3 linked regions of the Lonchura striata genome follow. The protein of the gene in region 2 purifies or fractionates together with the protein of the main gene of each other region. This does not show direct contact. Links are inferred from orthologs where the notes say so. Each region holds a gene or a part of one and is shown on either strand. Other genes may lie near its edges. The genes, in order: SNRNP70, GEMIN4 and DDX20.

Evidence for each region.
Region 1: the proteins of GEMIN4 (region 2) and SNRNP70 purify together in Homo sapiens (affinity purification with mass spectrometry; 5 studies listed by BioGRID and IntAct, counting the BioPlex papers as one, with this or other methods). This does not show direct contact. The link is inferred for Lonchura striata from reciprocal best matches to the Homo sapiens genes GEMIN4 and SNRNP70.
Region 3: the proteins of GEMIN4 (region 2) and DDX20 purify together in Homo sapiens (co-immunoprecipitation; 7 studies listed by BioGRID and IntAct, counting the BioPlex papers as one, with this or other methods). This does not show direct contact. The link is inferred for Lonchura striata from reciprocal best matches to the Homo sapiens genes GEMIN4 and DDX20.

Annotation. Positions count from the first base shown.
Region 1 is NC_134640.1:2,127,599-2,135,393, reverse strand, and holds the start of SNRNP70 (U1 small nuclear ribonucleoprotein 70 kDa), read right to left. Parts: upstream 3,051-7,795; 5' UTR 2,927-3,050; intron 1,564-2,926; 5' UTR 1,553-1,563; coding exon 1,406-1,552; intron 114-1,405; coding exon 51-113; intron 1-50. Other genes in the region: KCNA7 (potassium voltage-gated channel subfamily A member 7), read left to right, coding at 7,118-7,701. UniProt on the Homo sapiens protein: Component of the spliceosomal U1 snRNP, which is essential for recognition of the pre-mRNA 5' splice-site and the subsequent assembly of the spliceosome. SNRNP70 binds to the loop I region of U1-snRNA.
Region 2 is NC_134622.1:8,702,451-8,709,581, reverse strand, and holds the start of GEMIN4 (gem-associated protein 4), read right to left. Parts: upstream 3,069-7,131; coding exon 1-3,068. Other genes in the region: GLOD4 (glyoxalase domain-containing protein 4), read right to left, coding at 4,423-4,488, 4,799-4,885, 4,974-5,087, 5,207-5,293, 5,532-5,668, 5,865-6,009, 6,400-6,520, 7,113-7,131. UniProt on the Homo sapiens protein: The SMN complex catalyzes the assembly of small nuclear ribonucleoproteins (snRNPs), the building blocks of the spliceosome, and thereby plays an important role in the splicing of cellular pre-mRNAs.
Region 3 is NC_134632.1:5,521,178-5,529,212, forward strand, and holds the start of DDX20 (putative ATP-dependent RNA helicase DDX20), read left to right. Parts: upstream 1-5,021; 5' UTR 5,022-5,070; coding exon 5,071-5,254; intron 5,255-5,565; coding exon 5,566-5,660; intron 5,661-5,833; coding exon 5,834-6,002; intron 6,003-6,198; coding exon 6,199-6,313; intron 6,314-6,388; coding exon 6,389-6,531; intron 6,532-6,938; coding exon 6,939-7,077; intron 7,078-7,333; coding exon 7,334-7,392; intron 7,393-7,735; coding exon 7,736-7,818; intron 7,819-8,035.

The sequences.
Region 1 (7,795 bases), on a different chromosome or scaffold from region 2:
GCACCCCATTCTGGGGGGGGTTTCCCCCCGTTTGGGGGTTCTGGACGTACCTTGCGCTCCATGCGCTCCTCGCGCGTCTCGGCGCGCGTCGGTGGGGGGGCATCGCGGGGGTCCTGGGGGGACACAGAGGGGTTTTGGGGGGTCACAGAGGGGTTTTGGGGGGTCACAGAGGGGTTTTGGGGGGTCACAGAGGGGTTTTGGGGGGTCCAGGAGGGTTTTTGGGGTGGAGAGGGGGTTTGGGGCATAGTTATGGGGGTCTGGGGGAGTCTAGAAAGGGGTTTTTGAGGATTTGGGGGGATGCAGGGGAGGATTGTGGGGGTCCGGGGTGGTTCTGGGGAGTTCTGGAGAGGGTTTTGGGGAGTTCTGGGGGGATTTTGGAGCTCTGGGGTGGTTTTGGGGAGTTCTGGGGAGGGTTTTGGGGGTCCACGGTGGTTTTGGGGACTTCTGGGTTGGGGTTTTGGGGCTCTGAGGTGGTTCTGGGGAATTCTGGGGTAGGGTTTGGGGAGTTTTGGGGGTCTGAGGGAGTTTTGGGGAGTTTTGGGGAGTCCTGGGGTGGGGTTTGGGGGCTTCCAGGGTGGGTTTTGCCGGGTTTTGGGGGATTATGGGGCTCCAGGGTGGTTTTGGGGGGTTCTGGGGTGGGGTCTGGTGGTTTTGGGGGGATTATAGGGCTCCATAGGGGTTCTGGGGAGTTCTGGGGTGGGGTTTTGGGGTTTTTTGGGGTCTGGGATGGTTTTGGGGAGTTCTGGGGTAGAGTTTTGGGGGTCTGGGGAGGGTTCTGGGGGTCCGGGATAATTTTGGGGATTTCTGCGGTGGGGTTTGGGGGGTTTATGGGAGGGTTTTGGGGGTCTGGGGAGGGTTTTGGGGATATCTGGAGTGGGGTTTTGGGGGATTGGGGAGTCCTGGGGTGGATTTTTGGGGAGTCCTGGGGTGGGTTTTGAGGGTCTGGGATGGTTTTTGGAGAGTCCTGGGATGGAGTTCTGGGGGATTGTGGGGGTCTGGGGAGGGTTTTGGGGGTCCTGAGGGGTTTTGGAGAGTCCTGGGGTGGGGTTTTGAGGGATTGTGGGGATCTGTGGGGGTTTGGCCAGTCCTGGGGTGGAGTTTGGGGATCTGGGGAGGGTTTTGGGGGTCCGGGGTGGTTTTGGGGAGTTCTGCAGTGGGGCTTGGGGGGTCTAGGGGTGGAGTTTTGGGGGTCTGGGGAGGGTTTTGGGGGTCTGGGGAGGGTTTTGGAGAGTCCTGGGGTGGGGTTTTGGGGGATTGTGGGGATCTGTGGGGGTTTGGCCAGACCTGGGGTGGAGTTTGGGGGTCTGGGGAGGGTTTTGGGGGTCCAGGGTGGTTTTGGGGAGTTCCACAGTGGGGTTTGGGGGGTTTAGGGGAGGGTTTTGGGGGTCTGGGGGCTTTGGGGTACCTCAAACTCCCGGATGTAGGGCGCGATGCCGCTGTAGGGTTGGTTGTGGTGCTTCTCATGGGGCAACTTCTCCAGGGGGGGCAGGTAAGGGATGGGGTCCCGGGGGGCAAAAAGGGCCAAAAGGTTGGGGGGCAGGAACTGCGTCATCCTGGGAGGCTCTGGGGGGCACAGGGGGGAGGTCAGGACCCCCAGAACCCCAAAAAACCCACCCCAAAATCCCCAAATTCCGCCCTCGCTGCAGCTGATTCATCCCACGCTGGATCCCCAAAAACCCACCCCAACCCCCCAGAACATTCCTGAGACCCCCCCCAGAACCTTCCTGGGTCCTTCTAACCCCACACCGACCACCCCCATACCCATTCCAGACCCCCAAAACCCCACCTGGGACCCCCCAAAACCTTCCTGGGCTCCTTTCACCCTACACCAGCCACCCCCAGACCCCCAAAAACCCCACACTGCACCCCATAACCTCACCTGGGACCCCCCAAAACCTTCCTGGGTCCTTCTAACCCCACACCAGCCACCCCCAGACCCATTACAGACACCCAAAACCCCACCCTGGGCACCCCAGACCCCCATAACCCCACCTGGGACCCCCCAAACCTTCCTGAGCCCCTCTAACTGCACACCAGCCACCCCCAGACCCCCCCAAAATCCCCTCCAGACACCCCTAGACCCCCATAACCCCACCCCACACACCCCCCAGACCCCCCAAACCCCCCCAACACCCACAGACCCCCCAAAATCCCCTCCAGACACCCCTAGACCCCCATAACCCCACCCCACACACCCCCCCAAATCCCACAGCCGCCCTCAGACCCCCCAAAATCCCCTCCTAGACCCTCATAACCCCACCCTGGACACCCCCCAGACCCCCCAAACCCCCTCCCAACATCCAAAACTGCCCTCAGACCCCCCAAAATCCCCTCCTAGAGCCCCATAACCCCACCCTGGACACCCCCCAGACCCCCCAAAACCCTCCCCCAACACTCACAGCCATCCTCAGACCCCAAAATCCCCTCCTAGACCCCCATAACCCCACCCTGCACACCCCCCAGACCCCCCAAACCACCCCCAGACCCCCCAGAATCCCCTCCTAGACCCCCATAACCCCACCCTGCACACCCCCCAGACCCCCCAAACCACCCCCAGACCCCCCAAAATCCCCTCCTAGACCCCCATAACCCCACCCTGGACACCCCCCAGACCCCCCAAAACCACCCCCAGACCTCCCCCAAATCCCCACCGGACACCCAGAGCCACCCTCCGACCCCCAAAATCCCCCCCGGACACCCCTGGACCCCTCAACCCCGCCCCAGCGCCCCCAGCCACCCTCAGCCCCCCAAGCCCTCAGGGCAGCGCCCCCCCCTCACCCTCCCCACCCCTCCCCGCGCCCCCCGCCGCTCCGGGGCTCTCCCCCTCTCCCGGGCGGGTCCCCCCCGGCCCGCTGCCCTCTCGGGGTCCCTCCCGGAGCCGCCCCCGGAGCCCGCGGCCCTCCCGGAGCCCGCGGCCCTCACGGACCCCGCGCTGCCTCCGGCTCCGCGCGCGCCGCCCCCCGCGCATGCGCGCCCGCCGCCGCGCCAACGGAAGTGAGGGGCGAAACCGGAAGTGGCGGCGGCGGAAAGGCGGGGAAGGGGCCGGTAACGGTTCCGTGAGGGGGCGTGGTCAAAGGGGCGTGTCCATGCAAATGAAGGAGGCGTGGCGGACCAATCGCTGTTAGGGGCGTGGCTTAATTAACCGGTGCTGTGGGCGTGGTCTGCTGAGGAGGCGTGGTTATGAGATGGCCACGCCCCCACCGCGCGCCATGGCAACGTGGGCGGGGCTTCGCTGCCGGGCCGGGGGTTTCCATGGCAACCGGGAACAGCCGCGGGGTCCCCCCCTCCCTCCGTAGCAACGGGGAGGGAACAGCCCGTCTCGTTGCCATAGCAACCAGGTTGCCACCCACCCCCCCCGTGGGACACCCCGCGTGGTTTCCATGACAACGGAGAAAAAAAATTTAAAATAAAAACCCAAAATCCAAAATTATAAATCACGTCGCCACGGCAACCGGGATGCTCCCCCTCCCTCATCCCTACACAGGTCACACCCCCCCCCCCCCGTCCCGTTGCTATGACAACCAGGGTGACACCACCCCCCCCACCCTTCCCAATTTTGGGGTGGGGGGGTCCCCTCCTGCCCATCCCCCCCCCCCCACCGGGGTGTTCCCCCCCCCGTTAGCCATGGGGGAGGGGCGACAGCCATTCCCCGCCCCTCCCCCACCCCCCCAGGGTTGTCACCCACCCCTTGGGGACACTCGGTGACCCCGGGGGGGGTGGGGGAGGACCCGGTGTCCGGTCACCCCCCCCAGGGGTGTCACCCCCCCTTGGGGACACTCGGTGACCCCGGGGGGGGTGGGGGAGGACCCGGTGTCCGGTCACCCCCCCCAGGGGTGTCACCCCCCCTTGGGGACACTCGGTGACCCCGGGGGGTGGGGGAGGACCCGGGTGTCCGGTCACCCCCCCAAGGGATGTCCCTCCCCCCCTTGGGGACACTCGGTGACCCCGGGGGGGGGGAGGACCCGGGTGTCCGGTCACCCCCCCCCCCAAGGGATGTCCCTCCCCCCTTGGGGACACTCGGTGACCCCGGGGTGGGGTGGGGGAGGACCCGGTGTCCGGTCACCCCCCCAGGGTTGTCACCCACCCCTTGGGGACACTCGGTGACCCCGGGGGGGGGTGGGGGAGGACCCGGTGTCTGGTCACCCCCCCACCCCAGGGGTGTCACCCACCCCTTGGGGACACTCGGTGACCCCGGGGTGGGGGAGGACCCGGTGTCCGGTCACCCCCCCCCACCCCAGGGGTGTCACCCCCCCTTGGGGACACTCGGTGACCCCGGGGTGGGGGAGGACCCGGTGTCCGGTCACCCCCCCCCAGGGGATGTCCCTCCCCCCCTTGGGGACACTCGGTGACCCCGGGGGGGTGGGGGAGGACCCGGTGTCCGGTCACCCCCCCCAGGGATGTCACCCCCCCTTGGGGACACTCGGTGACCCCGGGGTGGGGGAGGACCCGGGTGTCCGGTCACCCCCCCCCACCCTCCCCCCCCCCGTTATTTTTAGCGCGGGGGGGAACCCGACACCGCGGGGCCACCCTGTCACCCTGTTTACGGGACAGCGGCGGTGACAGCGGGACGGCGGGCCGGGGACACCCGGTGACAGGGACAGGGGCCGGGGACACCCCGTGGTGGCGGGGGTGGGGGGGGGGTTGGGGACACCCGGGTGACGTGGGGGGGAGGGGGCACCCGGGGACAAGGTGGGGGGGCAACCCCTGGGGACAGCGGGGACACCCCGGGGACAGCGGGGACACCCCCGGGACAGGGTCAGGAGGGGTGGGGACACCCCCAGGACAGCGGGGACACCCCCGGGACAGCGGGGACACCCCGTCGACAGGGTCGGGAGGGTTGGGGACATCCCCGGGACAGCGGGGACACCCCGGGGACAGCGGGGACACCCCGGGGACAGGGTCGGGAGGGGTGGGGACACCCCCAGGACAGGGTGAGGAGGGGTGGGGACACCCCCAGGACAGGGTCAGGAGGGGTGGGGACACCCCCAGGACAGTGGGGACACCCCCAGGACAGGGTCAGGAGGGGTGGGGACACCCCCAGGACAGCGGGGACACCCCGGGGACAGGGTCAGGAGGGGTGGGGACATCCCCAGGACAGGGTGAGGAGGGGTGGGGACACCCCCAGGACAGCAGGGACACCCCCAGGACAGGGTCAGGAGGGGTGGGGACATCCCCAGGACAGTGGGGACACCCCCAGGACAGGGTGAGGAGGGTTGGGGACACCCCCAGGACAGAGTGAGGAGGGGTGGGGACACCCCCAGGACAGTGGGGACACCCCGGGGACAGGGTCAGGAGGGGTGGGGACATCCCCAGGACAGGGTGAGGAGGGTTGGGGACACCCCCAGGACAGAGTGAGGAGGGGTGGGGACACCCCCAGGACAGTGGGGACACCCCGGGGACAGGGTCAGGAGGGGTGGGGACACCCCCGGGACAGGGTTTGGGGACAGGCGGTGACACGGGGCCAGGCCGGTGGCAGCCGCTGGGGACCCCCCGGTGACACCTTGGGGACAGGAGGGGACCTTGGGGACACCCCTGTGACACTGGGGGTGGGGGCGGTTTGGGACACTCGGTGACAGGGGTCTGGTGGCTTGGGGACACCGGGGACACCCTCGGGGGGACGCAGTGACACCGGGGGACACCAAGAGTTGAGGGGTCCCCCCAAATCTTTGGGGTCACCCCCGAGGACCTCAAAGGTCCTGACCCCCCGTGAGACCCCCCCGAGGTCCACCCAGCTCCAACATTTTTGGGGTCCCCCCAAATCTTGGGGGTCACCGTGGGACCCCCAAAGACCTCGAGGGTTCTCCAAGGCTTTGGGGTCACCCTGGGACACCCCCTAAGTTTAGGGGGTCCCCCAAATCTGTAGGACCCCCCAAGGATCCTGAGGGTCCTCCAGCACCGTTGACCACTTGAGAATTTAGGGGCCCCCCAAATCTTTAGGGTCCCCTTGGGACCCCCAAAAGTTTTGGGGTGTCCCAACACCGCAGGACCTCGAGGTTCCTCCGGCATTGTAGAACCGCGGTTGGACCCCCAAAAATTTGGGGTCCTCCAACATTGTTGGCCCCGAATATTTTAGGGTTCCTCCAATCTTTAGGGTCCCACTTTGACCTCCAATAGTTTTGGGGTTCCCCAAATCTTTAAGGTCCCATTGGGCCCCAAATATTTCAGTGTCCCTCAAGATTTTTGGGTTGTTCTGAATGCTGAAGAACCTTGGGGTTCCTCCAACATTGTAGACCCAGTGTGGGACCCCCAGAAGTTTGAGGTCCTCCAACATTGTAGATCCCAAATATTTTTGGGGTTCCCCAAATCTTTAAAGTCCCATTGTGACCCCCAATATTTCAGTGTCACTCAAGATTTTTGGGGTGTCCCCAATGCTGAAGAACCTTGAGTTTCCTCCAGCATTGTAAACCCCGAATATTTTCAGGGTCCTCCAAATCTTTGACCTCCAATCTTGCCAACATTTTTCGGGGTTCCCCAAATCTTTGGGGTCCCATTGTGACCTCAAGTCCTTCAGTATCCCTCAAGATTTTTGGGTTTCCCCGACGCTGAAGAACCTTGAGGTTCCTCCAGCATTGTAAACCCCGAATATTTTCACAGTCCTCCAAATCTTTGGTGTCCCATTGTGACCCCCAATACTTCAGTGTCACTCAAGACTTTTGGGTTTCCCCCAATGCTGAAGAACCTTGAGGTTCCTCCAGCATTGTAGACCCCGAATATTTTTGGGGTCCTCCAAATCTTTGACCTCAAATTTTTTGGGGTTCCCCAAATCTTTGGGATCCCATTGTGACCTCAAGTACTTCAGTATCCCTCAAGACTTTTGGGTTTCCCCCGACGCTGAAGAACCTTGAGGTTCCTCCAGCATTGTAGACCCCAAATATTTTCACAGTCCTCCAAATCTTTGACCTCCAGTTTTTCGTGGTTCCCCAAATCTTTGGGGTCCCATTGTGACCTCAAGTCCTTCAGTATCCCTCAAGACTTTTGGGTTTCCCCGACGCTGAAGAACCTTGACCCTCTCGCCCCCCGCTGACCCCCAGGACCGCCGGGGCCGCCCCCCACCTGCCCCAGGCTGCCCTCGGTGCCCTCTGCCCCGCCCGTGCCCCGTCGCGGGGGCGCCGCGGGCATGGGCGAGCCGCTGGGCTGCTGCGAGCGCGTGGCCATCAACGTGGCCGGCCGGCGCTTCGAGACCTTGGTGCGGACGCTGCGGCGCTTCCCCGACACCCTCCTGGGCGACCCCCGGCGCCGGCGCCGCTTCTTCGACCCCCAGCGCCGCGAGTACTTCTTCGACCGCCACCGCGGCGCCTTCGGGGCCGTGCTCTACTACTACCAGTCCGGGGGGCGGCTGCGGAGACCCCCGGACGTGCCCCTGGACGTGTTCCTGGAGGAGCTGAGGTTCTACCAGCTGGGCGACGAGGCGGAGGAGCGGCTGCGCGAGGCCGAAGGCTTCTCGGTGGAGGAGCCGCCGGCGTTGCCGCGTGGAGGGTTGAGGCGGCGGGCGTGGCTGCTGTGCGAGCACCCCGAGAGCTCGCCGGCCGCGCGGGTGGTGGCCCTGCTGTCCGTGCTGGTCATCCTGGTGTCCATCGTGGTCTTCTGCCTCGAGACGCTGCCGCAGTTCCGCTCCGGCGCCGAGGGAGAGGTCAGTGGGGCGAGCGGGCGCGGTCGGCGGCGTCGGGTTCGTCATCGGGGTTGTCTTCATCATCCTTGTTGTTGGTGCCGTTGTCACCATCTTCATCAACTTCATCATCAGTGTCATTTTTATCTTCGTCATTCTCGTTGTCGGTGTCGTTGTCACCATCTTCAG
Region 2 (7,131 bases):
CGCAGCGCGGCGCATGGTGACCCGTCAGCCTTGCTGGACACCTCGTACTGCGACAGCACCTCCAGGGCCACCACCAGCAGAGGCTCCTCACAGCCCCCAGCAGGCAGCATGGCAGCCACGTGCAGCAGGTGGCAGAAGAGCTGGATGCAGGTGAAGGACACCTCCTGCGCGCAGGGCTGAGCCGCGGCCGCCGCCGCGGCCTTGAGGGAGGCCAGCAGGTCGGTCAGGCTGGCGCAGTACAGCTGCACCACGTGCAGCCAGGCCTCTGGAGGCAGCCAGCTGGAGCAGCTGGAGCTGCAGAGGAGCTGGAAGCCCCGCAGGAAGAGCACGGAGAGCTGCAGGTGGCAGGCGAAGGGGCGCAGGTTGAGCAGGGGCACGTGCTGCACGTACTCCAGCGTGTAGGGCACGTGCAGCACCTCCTTCTGCAGCAGCTGCTCCACCACGGGCACCAGCCTCCTCCACTCGCCGGGGCTGCACCAAGGCAGCACCTGGATGAGGGCCACCAGGAAGCCTTTGCTGAAGAGATTCACCTCCTCGGGGTTGTCCACGTTGACGCAGAGCAGCGCCAGCATGGAGTCCCTGAGCGCTGGGGACACGCAGCAGCACTCCATCCACGCCAGCAGCCCACTGCCCGGCCCGTAGGCTGGCCAGGACTGGCACGTCCACTCGTCCTCAGGGAGCCTGCAGATCTCGAACAGCGTCGCTGGGACCTCGTTCTTGAAGTGATCCCCATAAAGCTTCTTCAGACGGAGCCCCACGGTCCAGTCCAGGGATGCCACCTTCCTGTGGAGCCAGGCCAGCGACTGCACCCACAGCTCCGAGGAGGGGACGGTCTCTGGTCCCACCAGCTCGCACAGCTGGCACAGGATGCTCAGAATCAGGTCTTTGGTCTCCAGGGAAGGGAAGAGCTGCTCCCTAGGCCGATGCCAGTACTTGGTGTAACCATCCAGAAGTTTGCAGAGGCTAAGGAGAAGTGGGAATGGGTGGCAGGACTCAATCCAGTGCTCTTCTGAGCAGGATGGTATTCCCAAAACCTTACTGAGGATCTGCAGGCTCAGCTCAATCTGAGCAGAGTCTGACTTTAAACAGGGAAGGACAAAGGCTTCGGTCACTTCTGCAGGTGACACAAGTGGGGTGGCTGAGCCTGGCTGCATGAGAAAGGCCAGGAACTGAAGGAATTGCTCCTCTTCCCTCGCCGTGGAAAGCTTCCCCCACACTGCCTCCTCCAGGCACCTCACCACCAGGCTGCGTGGCTTGCCTGCACCCTCGTGGCTCTCCAGGAAGCTCAGTGCTGGGAAGGAGCAGAGGATTTGGGCGAGGAACTGGTGCGCCCCGAGGTTGACCACAGCAAGATGACAAACCTGCTTCACTGTGGCCTCGGGGGACAGCAGTGTCAGCCTGGCCACAGAAGCCACAGCCCTGGCCAGGCCTTCATCAGACACACTCTCTGTGATCTGGTTCAAAGTCACATTCAGGTCCTCCTGGAAGCCCTCCCTGACAACCTGCACGTTCTGGGACAGACCTGGGCCGCCCCAGGACGCCAGGACAGCTGAGATCACTTTGTTTTTGTCACTCAATGAAAGCTCAGTGTAGCACTCCACGATGGCTTTGGTCACTTGCATCTGCAGCTCTTGGGCCTCCTGGTCATGGTGGGAAGTAGCAAAGTTCACCAGCGTCTCCAGCAGTTTCAAAACTAGCTCAGGAGTCTGGAACAGAGCTTTATTCTTCACCAGGCACTCGACCCAGGCCTTTGAAAAAGCCCAGGTCTTTTCAGATGCAAAAACAGAGCAGGTTTCCCCATGGCGGTCCAGCCTCTGTGCAATGATTGCCATGGCAACTGAAGACACAAGGCTGGTGTCCAAACCCTTCAGGACTGCACCGGTGTCCCTGAGCAAGTCCTTGATGAGCTGTGTCACCTCTGACACCACCCATGTCCCGCCATCCCCCAGGTCTCTGGTCTCCAAGAGGAAATCCAGGTTCTTCCCAAGGCTGCTCAGAGCGTCCAGGAGCCGGTAGCTCTCAAAGCAAAGCCCCTCACACCCCCTCAGAGTGTCCTGCAGCTCCTCTCCCCAGGCCTGCAGCAAGCTGCAGAGCAAGCCTAAGCCATCGAAGAGCTCCTCACGAGAGGGTTTGGTCAGGCACAGGAGGCTCAGGCTCCTCTCTGCCTCCCTCACCTTCTCTCCCAGCTCGCAGGGGTGGTACTGGCTGTCAGCATCACTGCTCCAGAGACTGACCACGGCGCCGAGCTTGGCCAGGTGCTCCGCGATGGGCAGGGGGCTGTGCCCCGGCCCCAGCACCGAGGAGAGGCACAGCAGCTCCGCCAGGTTGGCCAGGGCGTAGCACCTCAGGCGGGGCTGGGCGATGCTGCCTCGGATCAGCTTTAACCCCTCCAGCAGCACCGCGGGCAGCCCGGCGGTGGCCGCGGCGCTCCCAGGGTCACCCTTGAACCTCTTTGGGGGCTGCAGACCATCCTCGGGGGGGGACTCCCCGCCGTGCTGGTGGATGAGAGCGCCGAACGCCGACACCGTGGCATCCTCCTGCCCCGCCCTGTGCTTCAGCACCTCCCACCACACGTCCAGGAAGAAGCTGACGTCCGACAAGGAGGTCTCGCTGGAGATGTACCGCACCAAGCTCTGCAGCTGTGCCCGGCACACGGCCGGCGGCAGCGCCAGCAGCAGCTGCACCCAGAGCCGCGGCTCGCCCAGCGCCTTCACCAGCTCGAAGAGCGCGGCGGGGCTGACATCGGGGATCATCGCGCCCACCGAGAAGAACCCGTCATCCCTCCAGCCCCACTCCAGCGCCGGCAGCAGGATCTTGGCCCACACGATGGCCACGGCCTCCTTCTTCCACCGGCGGCGCGGCGCGGGGCAGCGCTCGGCGATCTCGCGCAGCGCGTCGGCGATGGGCAGCCCCGCGCGGGGCCAGTCGGCCTTGCGCAGCTCCCGCAGCGGCCGCGGCTGCAGCAGGCGGGCGGCCAGCAGGAAGCCGCCGTGCAGGATCGCCGTCTCCTCGCCCACGGCCCAGGGCCCGCCCGCCGCCATGGCGGGCCCGCGCTCCGCCGCCGCCATGGCGCCCGCGCGGTGACGTCACGCCCGCGCTGCGCTGACGTAACGCCGTCCGCCCCCGCCCCGCCGCGCGCTCGCAGCGGCCCCTGGCGGCGCGGAGGTGTGCTGCTTAATTAATTAATGAAATCATTAATTAAATCATTAATGAAAAATTAACGAATTCATTAATGAAATCATTAATGAATTGATTAATGAATTCATGGACTAATATAATTAATGAAAACATTAGTGAATTAATTAATGAATGAATTCATGGACTAATATAATTAATGAAAAAATTAATAAATGAATTCATGGACTAATTCATTGCCATGCTCCACTATCAATGTGTTTAATCATACAAATAGGATTCCAAACCGCCATTAAAATGGAATTCAAAAAGCTGACTGAAAAAAAAAAAAAACAAATCGCAGTGAGGAGTTTTTCCTGCTCCACCTCAGAAGTGCCAACGCTGCCCGATCGATCGTCTCTATCAAACTCGTTTCGCGATGAAAACCTGATTTAAAGGATTTTATTTAAGGTTTTCATCAAGGAAACGATGGTCAGGCAGCATACGTGGCACAAGCAATGATGGGAATGACTCCCTGTATTCCCAGCAAAAGCAGAGCAACTTCACTCCAACACAAAAAACCCTGAATTGTTATTTCCAAAGGCAGCTTCTCACCAACAGCTAAGTGAAAAACTTATTTCAAGCTGCCCCCTGGCACCTCAGCAGACAGTGCAGCTCCAAACCCCAAAGCACAGCCTCAGTTCCCTGCTGGAACGTGGAAATCTCCTGGAGAAAGACTGGAAACCCAGCAACAGCAGGATCCCAGTGAGAAACACACCACGGGCTGAACATTTCCCCTTGGAAGCTGGGGAAACTCCTTGGAATAACAAGGACTGGAGTATTCACGCAGCTTGGCAAGATCATTTCTTTGTTCCCAATAAAGGGATGCACCCCACACCTCCCTGGAGAGGGGGAGTAGCCACAGCTGCCTCCAAATCTCCTCTCTAGCCTGCAAATGAAGGACAGCTAAAGCAAAGTAATCAGGAAATTAATTAATCAGAAAATAACCTATCCACCTTTCCTTGAAGCATAACAACACAGAAATGTGATTCTCTCTTGACTGATGGTCCCTGTTTTGAAGCCAAGGGCTCAGCTGCTCCTTTGCTGCATGGCCCCCGTTTTTTTGGATGGATGAGATGTGAAAGGGACAGAGCAGCAGGCCAGAGACATCAGCTTAAATCAACCCAAAAAAACCCACCACAGGAAATCCCAGCACCTTCTGATTAGGAAGGCAGCACTTTAACCAGGATTGGCACTTTCTTGGAAGAACTCCAAGGCACAGAATAGCAGCACAGGCCATTCCTCCAGCTAAGCTGAAACCTTCTTCATGTTGTGCTCAGCAAACCACTTGTCACTGTTGTCTGCAGCCATGGCCTGCACAAAGACAAGTGGGAACATGGTCAGAACAGGAGGAAAGCTCTCTGGAGAGATAAATCATTTTTTAGCTACTAGTAAGGAGAACTGACACTGAAAACCAACTTTCTCTGCCACAGCAAACAACGAGACCATGCCCCAAGAGTGATGCTGGACAACTCCACCCAGGGCACCAAGTGAGATTTAAAAACTGATTTATTTTCCTTACCAACCCTGGGTGATTTGCTTCCAGGAAAAACTCAGCATGGAATGAAAATTGGATTTTACAGGTATCTCTAATCAGGAAGAAAATGAATGTGCAGCCACTTACATCATCCAACAGCTTGTCACCATTAGGGTCCACCTGGGACAGCTCTCTGAATGCTTCATCCCCCACAAAACAGATTTCGTGGCCATCCTGAAAGGAGGCAGCTCAGTTATAACTAATGGCAAGGAGGAACTGAAACCAAATTTAACCACTTTTAAAACTTTTCAGTTTTACTCACAGGATCAGCCAGAATCACCACCTGCACCGTGGCTTTGCCAGGCGTGTCCAAGCTGACCAGGGGCGTCAAGATTTTCTGATTCTCCTTTTTCATCAGGGCTTCAATGCTTGGCAGCTGGAAACAGAAAGCAAACCCAAATCACCTCGCTGCCAAAGAGATAAACTATCTGCTCAGGGTTTTGTTAACACCAAAACAACCTTCCCCAGCTGGGGGGAGGGAAATGGGGCTGTTACCTCTTCCTTGGCACAGGAGAAGGCGATGCGGCCGAACGCTGTCCCGTGGTCCACTGCTCCTCCAACAGCCTTCAGCTCCAGCTTGCACTGGGACAGGGAAAAACCCAGCCTGGCTTGCAGGGACACTGCTCCAGGCTGCAGCTGATTCCAAAATCCCCCATCCACGCCTTTCCCAACAAGCCACAGCAAACCACAGCTTTGCTTTTTTATTTTTAAAAGCGCAGCTGGGTGTATACAGCGTCAATTAAAACACTCATCATTAAGGGCACAGTTGCTCTAATTAAGAGCTTTTTTCCTGAAATTGGTGATTTTTCCAAGGACTGACCTGGTTATCAGCGTAGCCCAGCAAAGCCCTTTGTTTCTCCTCATCCTTCTCATAGATTTTCATCCCAAGCAAACCAGACCAGTAGCTCACAGACTTCTGCAGGTTTGAGACACCCAGGGTTACCTTCCACACGGGATCTTGAGGATTGCAATAATTTCACATTAGCTACAAACATATTATAGCTTTAAATCCACAGTTAATGTCATTAGTATTCTTGAGAAGTAACAGAGAAATTATAAAAAAAGTGTACTGTTCTACAAAATGCCATCAAAATAAACACACTCTGATACCCCACTGTTAAACCTCTGCTGAACACCAGCAGGGGTATTTCACCTTGCTTGGGCTGTTCTTTGTCTTCCAGGTAGAATTTGTATCCTCCTGGGGCTTCAGCTTCAAAGACACCAGAGGTGACTTCTTTGAGGGGCCACCCCATCTTCTTGGCATTGCTCACAGCCTGGCTGGACACCAGAGTGATGCCCTAGAGAGGACACAACACAATCCATGGGGTGGAGGCAGAGACAGAACCTCCTTCCACACAGGAAACACGAGATCTCCATCTGCTGCCAGCCACTAAATCACAAAAATTATCAAAATAATAAATATAAGAGTGTTTTCCTGCAGCAAGTTCCTCCTGTTGGATCTGGCAGCAAACACCAGCTGTCCCACACAGCAGAGGGAGAGCTCCAGAAATGTTTCCTGGACCTCTAAGTGAGCACAAATCTGCTCTGGATTCTGCTCTTCCAACTCAGAGACAACCATAAAAGCAACGATTATGTGGTTAAGGGACCCAACAGCATAAAAATAAGCAGCTGTGACAAATGAGCTCCTAATTATCAAGGTAAATCAGCTTATCATGAGTGGAACTCACCAGGAAGTCGTTGCCCAGGCGATATTCTCCAATGCCATAATTGTAAGTCAGCTCTGCCACAAAGTGATTGTCCTCTGGTCCGTAACCCACCATGGTCTTGCTCCATTTTCCATCATAAGGGCTGGAATATCCATATTATCCATATTTTAATGTCATTAGCATTGAAATGAACCACCAAGAACTGCGAGTATTTGTGTTTCAAGGAGGAGTTGTGTTTCTAGAGTGAAATCGTGGCAGATTTGACCCCGGGCTCTCTTCATATGATAAAAGCAATTCTACCTCATTAACAGCTGGTGCTTTAAGAGCACAGGCTGCTCATTAGCTGCAATTACATAATCACTTCCTTATTGCTAAGTAGGAAAGGGCACCAAACTGTAAGATTCCTTCCACTTCACAATGAAATGCATTCCTCTTTCTTCTTCTTTTAATTTCTTTTTCTTTAGCCTTGGGCTACCAGGAGGGATTTTTAACTCAAGAACCTTGATAGTGCCACGATTATCTAAACAATCAGTGGAACTGGAGTCCTGATAAGCTGAGAAATTCCTGATAAGCTGAGAAATAATTAAGTATCAACCTAGAGGCGTGGTATTTCTGTGCAATATAAACACCACACCTACACAGAGTGGGGGGCTGCAGGTTCCAAGGGAAGCAATTTAATAAGAAACAACCCAAACTTTATTTTACTGTGAACAACAGCTGCACCGGGCACTCACCCGTTGCAGGTGGCCTTGC
Region 3 (8,035 bases), on a different chromosome or scaffold from region 2:
GCAAGCTCCTGTGCCTCGTGCGAGACACCAAATCTGTGATCTCTGGCAGATGAACAGGAAGAGCTCCTAGGCTCGTTTGGCTTCTGCTAAGGACATCCTTTTGATCCGTTTTCCAGCCTCGGGGCTGCTCCTGTCCCAGGAGACTGATAAAGGAGTTCAGGAGCACAGAATAAAGAAAAGACCGGCATATTCATGTGCTCCAAACTCCTGGGAACTTGCAAAGGAAGAAAAAAATCTGAAATATTTTCTCAGTAGAATTTCCTTACTAAGCAGCATTTTTCTCTTGCGTGTAGACAACTGGTTCAAAGCAGCACTGACACCTCATGCCAGGCCCTGCACTCCTTCCGCTCTGTCGTGGTGTAAACCATGAGCAGATGGTGCAGTGCACTGGAAAATCAGATCTCCGAGAAAGTACAGAGCCAAGAATAAAACTCCCCGAAGCAGAAAGCTACATGGTTTATTTCAGGACAAAAAGAAAAACTGAGATCCTTAGGCAAAAATTAGAATACTCCTTCAGAGTGGAGTATTCCACTTCTATGAACTGCCTCGTTCATTCCTGATTGAGGGAACATCCATCCCTTCACAGCTGAAGGCTCAGCTCATTTGTTGTCTTTCAGTTCATTGATCTGCTTTCTCCAGGCTCCCACGTGACTGTTCTCTGCTGAACTAACAAGCGTGGTTATCGCTGAATTTTCCTTCCTTTTGACTTTCTTGCACACTGACGACAAACCTTTCAGAATTTCCTCCCACTTCAGCTGCAGCATGACCTGAATTGAATCCATCCTTGTTTGAACCCACTGGGGCAGAAACACCCAGCCACGATAGGTAAGGATGTAATGTCAGAACTTTGCTGGTTTTATATTTGTGCATAAAGAGATAAAATAGCCCTGAAAATATGACTGTTTCTTCCATTAAGTCTAATTTAGTGCATACAGCCTCTGCGGCCTTTATATGTGAAGTTCTGACGTGCCCCAGCCTCACTATGCCCATCCTCAAAATAAAAACTTCTAACGCTGCTCCAGCCAAATTCCAGCTCCTGGCATTGCTCTGCCTGCACTGGAGTGCCAGGAGTAAGGAGCAGGGCAGCTCCTCATGCAGCACTGCTTGTGCTGAACATCTCCTACATTTCAGCTCGGCTCGCTGCATTTTCGTGACCTAGATCCCGCTCGCATGAGCTCAAAAAATAATGTAGCAAATCTTGGTATCGAAGATTAAACTGGGATGATGATTATTTATTTGGAAGACAACAGGAGTGAAATAGTGGCATTTCTCTCTGCAGAGCTGAAATAGCTGCTCTGACCCGGTCCCTTAGGCCAGCTTGCTTTTACCTGCAGCTGCACCCGTGCATGTGCCTGTGATGGCTCCCCCGTGGGCTTGAGATTCCATCTGAAATCTGGGGAATTCTCCCTGACCCTTGTGAAGAACGTGCCTGACGAGGAGCCCCGTCCGTTCCGCAGGAGGGCACTGAAATGAGCCTCAGATGGAGGCAGGACAGGACCATCCTCCTCCTCGTCACCGTTATTTATGGCAGCTCCACGCACAGGCTCGCTGGGAAGAGCCACAGCTTGGACATCACTGAAGCAACGGGGAAGATTCTGCTGCTCCCAAGACTTGCTGCTCCTTGGTAACTCCCAGGCAGCTTTCCTCTGCAGAGGGCAGGTGAATGTGCAGTTTTCCGTGGTGAACACGCAGGCGCCGTCTCTGCTGGGATCAATGGCCCTTTCACTGGCCTGGGCTCTACTGTACAGAGAGCAAACACAGTTTCCATGGCACTGGAAACACAAACATGTCCCACACTCCAAAGAGTGACTCACACGTGCTGCAGAGAACAGAGAAACTTCCCTGTCTTAATCTGAAAACATCTGCGAGAGGAGGATGAGATTATCTCACTTTCAAAATATGCTACAAATATTGTGTAAACCACATTTGCACTGAATAATTCCATGTCTTGGCAGATCTGAAAGACAAATCCTTTGAAGGCAAAGGAATAAGGCAAGGCTGGTGCCTGTTTGCAGTAGCAATGGCCAAATCAATAATGAATATATTCTTAAAATAAATACAACCCAACAATTCTGGAAGCCAATACAAACTGTCCATGTGCATTTTACCTCAGTATTTCAAAGAGTCACAATGAGAATTTAAGTGTTGGAAATGGAAGAGTAGATTTATAAGAAATGGAGGAGATGGATAAATTAGTGGGAAGTATTTAGTACAAGTGCTAATCCTGGTATTGCAGGTGCTAGGCTGAAATAGTCTGAAACAGTCTGAAATAGTCTAGAATAGTCTGCAACAGTCTGAAATAGTGATCACCTGACCTGCAGCCCCAGCAGCATCACTCAGAGGTGTCTTAGAACATCCCTTACCTAAAGCTGATACACTGAATTACAGATTCAGGGGAAAACGCATGCAATTAAAATCAAATCTGTGATGTGCACTTTCTAGCAGGGACAAAAATGTGGTGAGGACTATCTTGGAGCAATAAAACATGCTCTCAGTGTATTTGGGAGGAAGAATTTTCCCTAGCAGGGCTTTTCTACATCCTAAAACCTCAAGGAGTTTTATGACCCCAAGCTAGAGAGTTTATATCCCTTCAAAGGAACCTGTTATTTTAGTAATATTCCAGCTCTGAAGGATGTCTCATCGGCTTCCTTTACTAACCTAAATCCTTTCCCAGCACCTATTCTGCCTGCAGAGCATTCAGATTGAATGTCAGGATTTCCAAAGGCTGCTCTGAGCAGGAATACTGCCTTTGGCTTTCCAGCAAGCAACAGCAAAGCCCTGTCATGGCAAAGCTGCAGATTCCTCTTGGCAGGGCTGACACGTGAAGGTCAGCAACAGGAATTCAGTGCTGAGAGTCACTGAGGTAAAGCAAGGCCTGAAGGGAGAAGATTCCTGTGTGGACTGTGACTCACAGCACAGCACCTGCACAGAGCTCAAAACACAGAGAGGAGCAGGAGCAGGTGAGATTTGCTATGGGAATGAGGGCTAGAACAAAACCCTTCATGGGCTCACAACAAAAGAGCAGGAGCAGGTGAGATTTCCTACAGGAATGAGGGCTAGAACCCTTCATGGGATCGAGTGGCGGAGCTGCAGGAGCCGAAATGTGACACAGCCCCTCCGTCAGGGCCAGAACCAGCGCGACAGGGACAAATCTGCCAAGGGAGGCTGGCACACAGGGAGACGCTTTGGAGAGTGTCTGCGCTGAACGGCTGAAGGAAAATGAAATAACAAACAGCACCTTTGTGAATGATGGTCGGGATGTGTCATTAATGCACCACAGAGAACAACGCCTGTCTGCAGATCACCTTGGTGGAATTGCAACTTGCACGGAACCTCGGGAGAACAGGAGTAAGTGAGAGAAACAGAGAAGGCAGCAGCTCCTGCAATGGCTCTTGGGGCTGTTCTGTCACCTCCTCGCTGCCCTTCCCCCTGGGAACAGTCCCTCCTCACTGCTCTTTCTTGTCTGTTCAAATCACATCAATTTAAAAGGGTTATGAAAGGCTCTATTTAATCAAATGTTTGTTATGTCCAGGTGTCTTTGTCTGTCTCCTTTCCCAGATTTATCCAGAGACAATTATCTCATGGAGACTCTTTCCCCTTGAGGACCAATGAGAATATCCACTTAGAAATTAAAAAATAATTGGAACAGTGGCATGCCTGTGGATCCTGTTACCTGTCCCAGCCACGTGGTGTGCTCCCCCTTGGTGGAGGGGAGCTCTCCAAACTGGAACTGCTCTGTGTCCTGCAGGGTTGATGTTTGGTACTCAGATATCCACAGGAAAATATCATCATCATAAGACATAACTGAATAGAATCTGACAGACTTTTCTCCCCATCAGAAATACAGGCATGAGGAATTTCAAAGGCGTGACCAAGCCTGTGATACACCAAAGCCATTAAAATTCATTTTGGCTGCCCGGCACTGTAAGAATAATGGCACAGTGTATGTGCTTGTACAGTAGAAGCCACTGTGGAGATTTTCCAAATTCCCTTGCAATGAATGGAAGCTGCACGTCCAGAGCCTCCGAAGCGCTGCCATAAAGGCTGATATTCATAAATTTAAAATAAGTGGCCTACAGAGGGTAGTAAGTAGGGCACATACAGATTAACACGCTTGCCCTCTGCCGAGCGAACACTACGCTGTTATGTTTGCTGTCATGTTCTGAGGGCTCGCAAACCGCGTGTTCTGTGCGCTGTCCTCGGGACGGGCACGGCCCGGGCCGGCAGAGCCGGGGCGCTCGGACAGCGCCCGGCCCGGCCGGGGCGTGTGTGCGGGGCCAGCGGCGGCGCTCGGCGGCGATCTGCGGTTATTTGGGGCTATTTGCGGTTATCTGGGGCTATTTGCGGTTATTTATCTGGGGCTACATGGCGCTGTTCGCTCCGGAGGCCCTGACCCGCTATCCGTACCCGCCCTCAGGCGGAGCCGCCGCCATCTCCCCGTGCCCGCCCTCCCTCAGGAGGAGCCGCCGCCATCTCCCCGTGCCCGCCCTCAGGCGGAGCCGCCGCCGCCATCTCCCCGTGCCCGCCCTCAGGCGGAGCCGCCGCCATCTCCCCGTGCCCGCCCGCCCTCAGGCGGAGCTGCCCCCGCCGCCATCTCCCCGTGCCCGCCCTCAGGCGGAGCCGCCGCCATCTCCCCGTGCCCGCCCTCAGGAGGAGCCGCCGCCATCTCCCCGTGCCCGCCCTCCCTCAGGCGGAGCCGCCGCCATCTCCCCGTGCCCGCCCTCCCTCAGGCGGAGCTGCCCCCGCCGCCATCTCCCCGTGCCCTCCCTCAGGCGGAGCCGCCGCCATCTCCCCGTGCCCGCCCTCCCTTAGGCGGAGCTGCCCCCGCCGCCATCTCCCCGTGCCCGCCCTCAGGCGGAGCCGCCGCCATCTCCCCGTGCCCGCCCTCCCTCAGGCGGAGCCGCCGCCATCTCCCCGTGCCCGCCCTCCCTCAGGAGGAGCCGCCGCCATCTCCCCGTGCCCGCCCGCCCTCAGGCGGAGCCGCCGCCATCTCCCCCGCCGCGCCCCCTGGCGGCGCTGCGCCGCGGGATCAGGGCAGCTCTCGCGAGACTCCCGCCGCGGCCCGCCAAGATGGCGGCGCCCAGGGAGGCGGCGGGCCGGGTCCGCACCCGGGACGTGCTGCTGCCCGGCGGCCCCGCGGACTTCGGCTCCCTCCTGCTGTCGCCGCCGGTGCTGGCTGGGCTGGAGGCGGCCGGCTTCCATCGGCCCTCGCCCGTGCAGCTGAAGGCCATCCCGCTGGGGCGCTGCGGCCTGGGTGAGCGGGCGGGCCGGGCGCGGGGCCGGGATGGGTCTAGGATCTGCCCTGACCCCCAGGAGGTGCCCTGACCCCGGGATCTGCCCTGACCCTGGGATCTGCCCTGACCCCCAGGAGGTGCCCTGATCCCCGGGATCAGCCCTGACCCCGGGATCTGCCCTGATCCCGGGATCTGTCCTGACCCCGGGATCAGCCCTGACCCCGGGATCTGCCCTGATCCCGGGATCTGTCCTGACCCCGGGATCTGCCCTGATCCCGGGATCTGTCCTGACCCCCGGCGCTGCCCTGACTGCCACAGCCACTCTTTGCAGACCTCATCGTGCAGGCCAAGTCTGGCACCGGCAAGACGTGCGTGTTCGCCACCATCGCGCTGGAGGCGGTGCTGCTGGAGAGCCCGGCCACGCAGGTGAGGCACCCGGGGCTCTGGGGCGGGAGCGGCTCCTTTTGGGGGGATGTGGCACCGGGGCTCTGCGGAGGGAGCGGCTGTTTTTGGGGGATGTGGCACCAGACAGTGCGGTTTGCATCGCTGCGGTGCTGGGCTTAGCTCCCATCCCCCCAGTTAACCCTTGCCCCACACAGATCCTGATCCTGGCTCCCACCAGGGAGATTGCTGTACAGATCCACGCCGTCATCACGACCATTGGCATAAAAATGGAAGGCTTGGAATGCCACGTGTTCATTGGAGGGACTCCTCTGAGCCAGGACAGAAGCAGGCTGAAGAAGTGCCACATAGCTGTGGGCTCCCCAGGTAGGGAGCAGCTTTGCCGTGGTTTGGGTCCCCGTGGGCCTGCACAGGTCAGTAACCGGCCACGGGAAGCTGGCTTGGGGGAGTTTGTTGTCACTAACAGGGCACAGCCTCAGAGCAGCTCAGGAACACTTTAAAAGGTCACGCTGAAGGTGTTTGGGGCCCCGTTTCTGGAGCTGTTGGTGTTTCCCTCCTGCAGGGCGGATCAAGCAGCTGATCGAGCTGGACTACCTGAGCACGGCCAGCGTGCGGCTGCTGGTGCTGGACGAGGCGGACAAGCTGCTGGAGGAGGGCAGCTTCCAGGAGCAGATCAAGTAAGGCACAGCACCCTGCCAGGCTGCGTGGGCAGGCGGGTGCCCTGTGAGTGACTGCCTGCCCCTGTCTCTCAGCTGGATCTACTCCTCGCTGCCGCTCAACAAGCAGATGCTGGCGGTCTCAGCCACCTACCCCGAGTCCTTGGCTGCTGCCCTCACCAGGTACATGAGGGAGCCCACCTTCGTCAGGCTGAACCCCACGGACCCAAGCCTTCTTGGTGAGCACATAAAGGCACTCACAGTGGCATGGCTGGCAATAGATGACGAGGAGGGCACTAAAGCCAAAACACCTGCCTTTAGTTCCTAATTTCACCCCTGGGTTGTTCAGTTTATGAATATTGATCCCCAGTGTTGATGTAGTGAACCTTGAAGTGGAATGAGAAGGTCTTTAAAGGCCTTTCCAACCCAAACCTGTGATTCTGTATTTTTGAAATACCAGTGACAAATGGAGCTCCCTCCTTTTTCTATCCATTCAAAAATTCTAGCCTTTTTAGAAAATTTTCTCCTGGAGGTTCTGATGTCTGTCTGTTTGCAGTTTCCCTTCAGCTGCACTACCACGTGTTTACAGAACTCTGTGCATGTTTTTATGGCAGCCCCTAATCTGTTGTTTTGCTTTCCTGCTCAGGGCTGAAGCAGTACTACAAAATCGTGAATTCCCATCCCCTCCCACATAAAACCTTTGAGGAAAAAACCCAGCACCTGCAGGAGTTGTTCAGCAAGATTCCTTTCAACCAAGCCTTAGTCTTCTCAAATCTGCACAGCAGGTAACACATTTGCAATAACACCTGGACAAAGCTTGTTTGGGAGCAGTGCTTGTAATGCCCAGGCTCAGAGAAATTCATGGGACCTGCAAGGCCTCGGACTGCAAACCTCAGCTCTGAAATACTGCCTGAGGAATGCAGTGTGAAATACTGAAAATATCACAATGCAGTCCTTGGCTGTAGAGAGTAACCCAAGGACTGGCAGGTGTTGTTAGGCCTGGGGTTTTATTTCCAGTTTTCAGTGTGTGTGTTCCCTCAGGGCTCAACATCTGGCTGAAATACTGACATCCAGAGGCTTCCCTGCCGAGTGCATTTCAGGTAAAACCATTCACAATTTTCTGATTCCACTGAAATTGTGCATAAATGTGACCTAAACGAGGAAAATATATCTTCAATCTTGCCTTGCAGGGCCTCTGGTTAAATGGCTGAGAATAGCATTTGAATTGTCATAGGTCTTTCAAGACTCCATCTACAAGGAAAAGAATTTTTTTTGCAATGAGTGACCTGAGTTTTCCGGTTCTGTTTGTTCCTTCTTTACTCATTTGGGGCTGATGTTTGAGGAAGTTTCTAACTTATCCTGATGATACAAAGCAGTGTTTTCTAGAATGTGAGTGGCATAAAGATGAAGAATGTAACCTGCTTCTAATTTTTATCTTCCTAGGCAACATGAATCAAAATCAACGACTTGATGCCATGGCTAAATTAAAGCAATTCCACTGCAGAGTTCTGATTTCCACAGACTTGGTGAGATTTACTGCTTTCAAACAAGCTTTTTACAGATTCTATTTCAAATTTTACAGCATGCAGGAGTACTGCACATAAAATTACTTCAGAGGATTAGATTTGGCTTGGAATTGGAGAGGACATAAATGTGCTGGTGAAGCGCTGGGGGTTGGGACTTATTTTCACAGCGGGGCTTAGAAATCAGCCCCATGCCTCGTCTGCCTGCCCATGGCAGGGC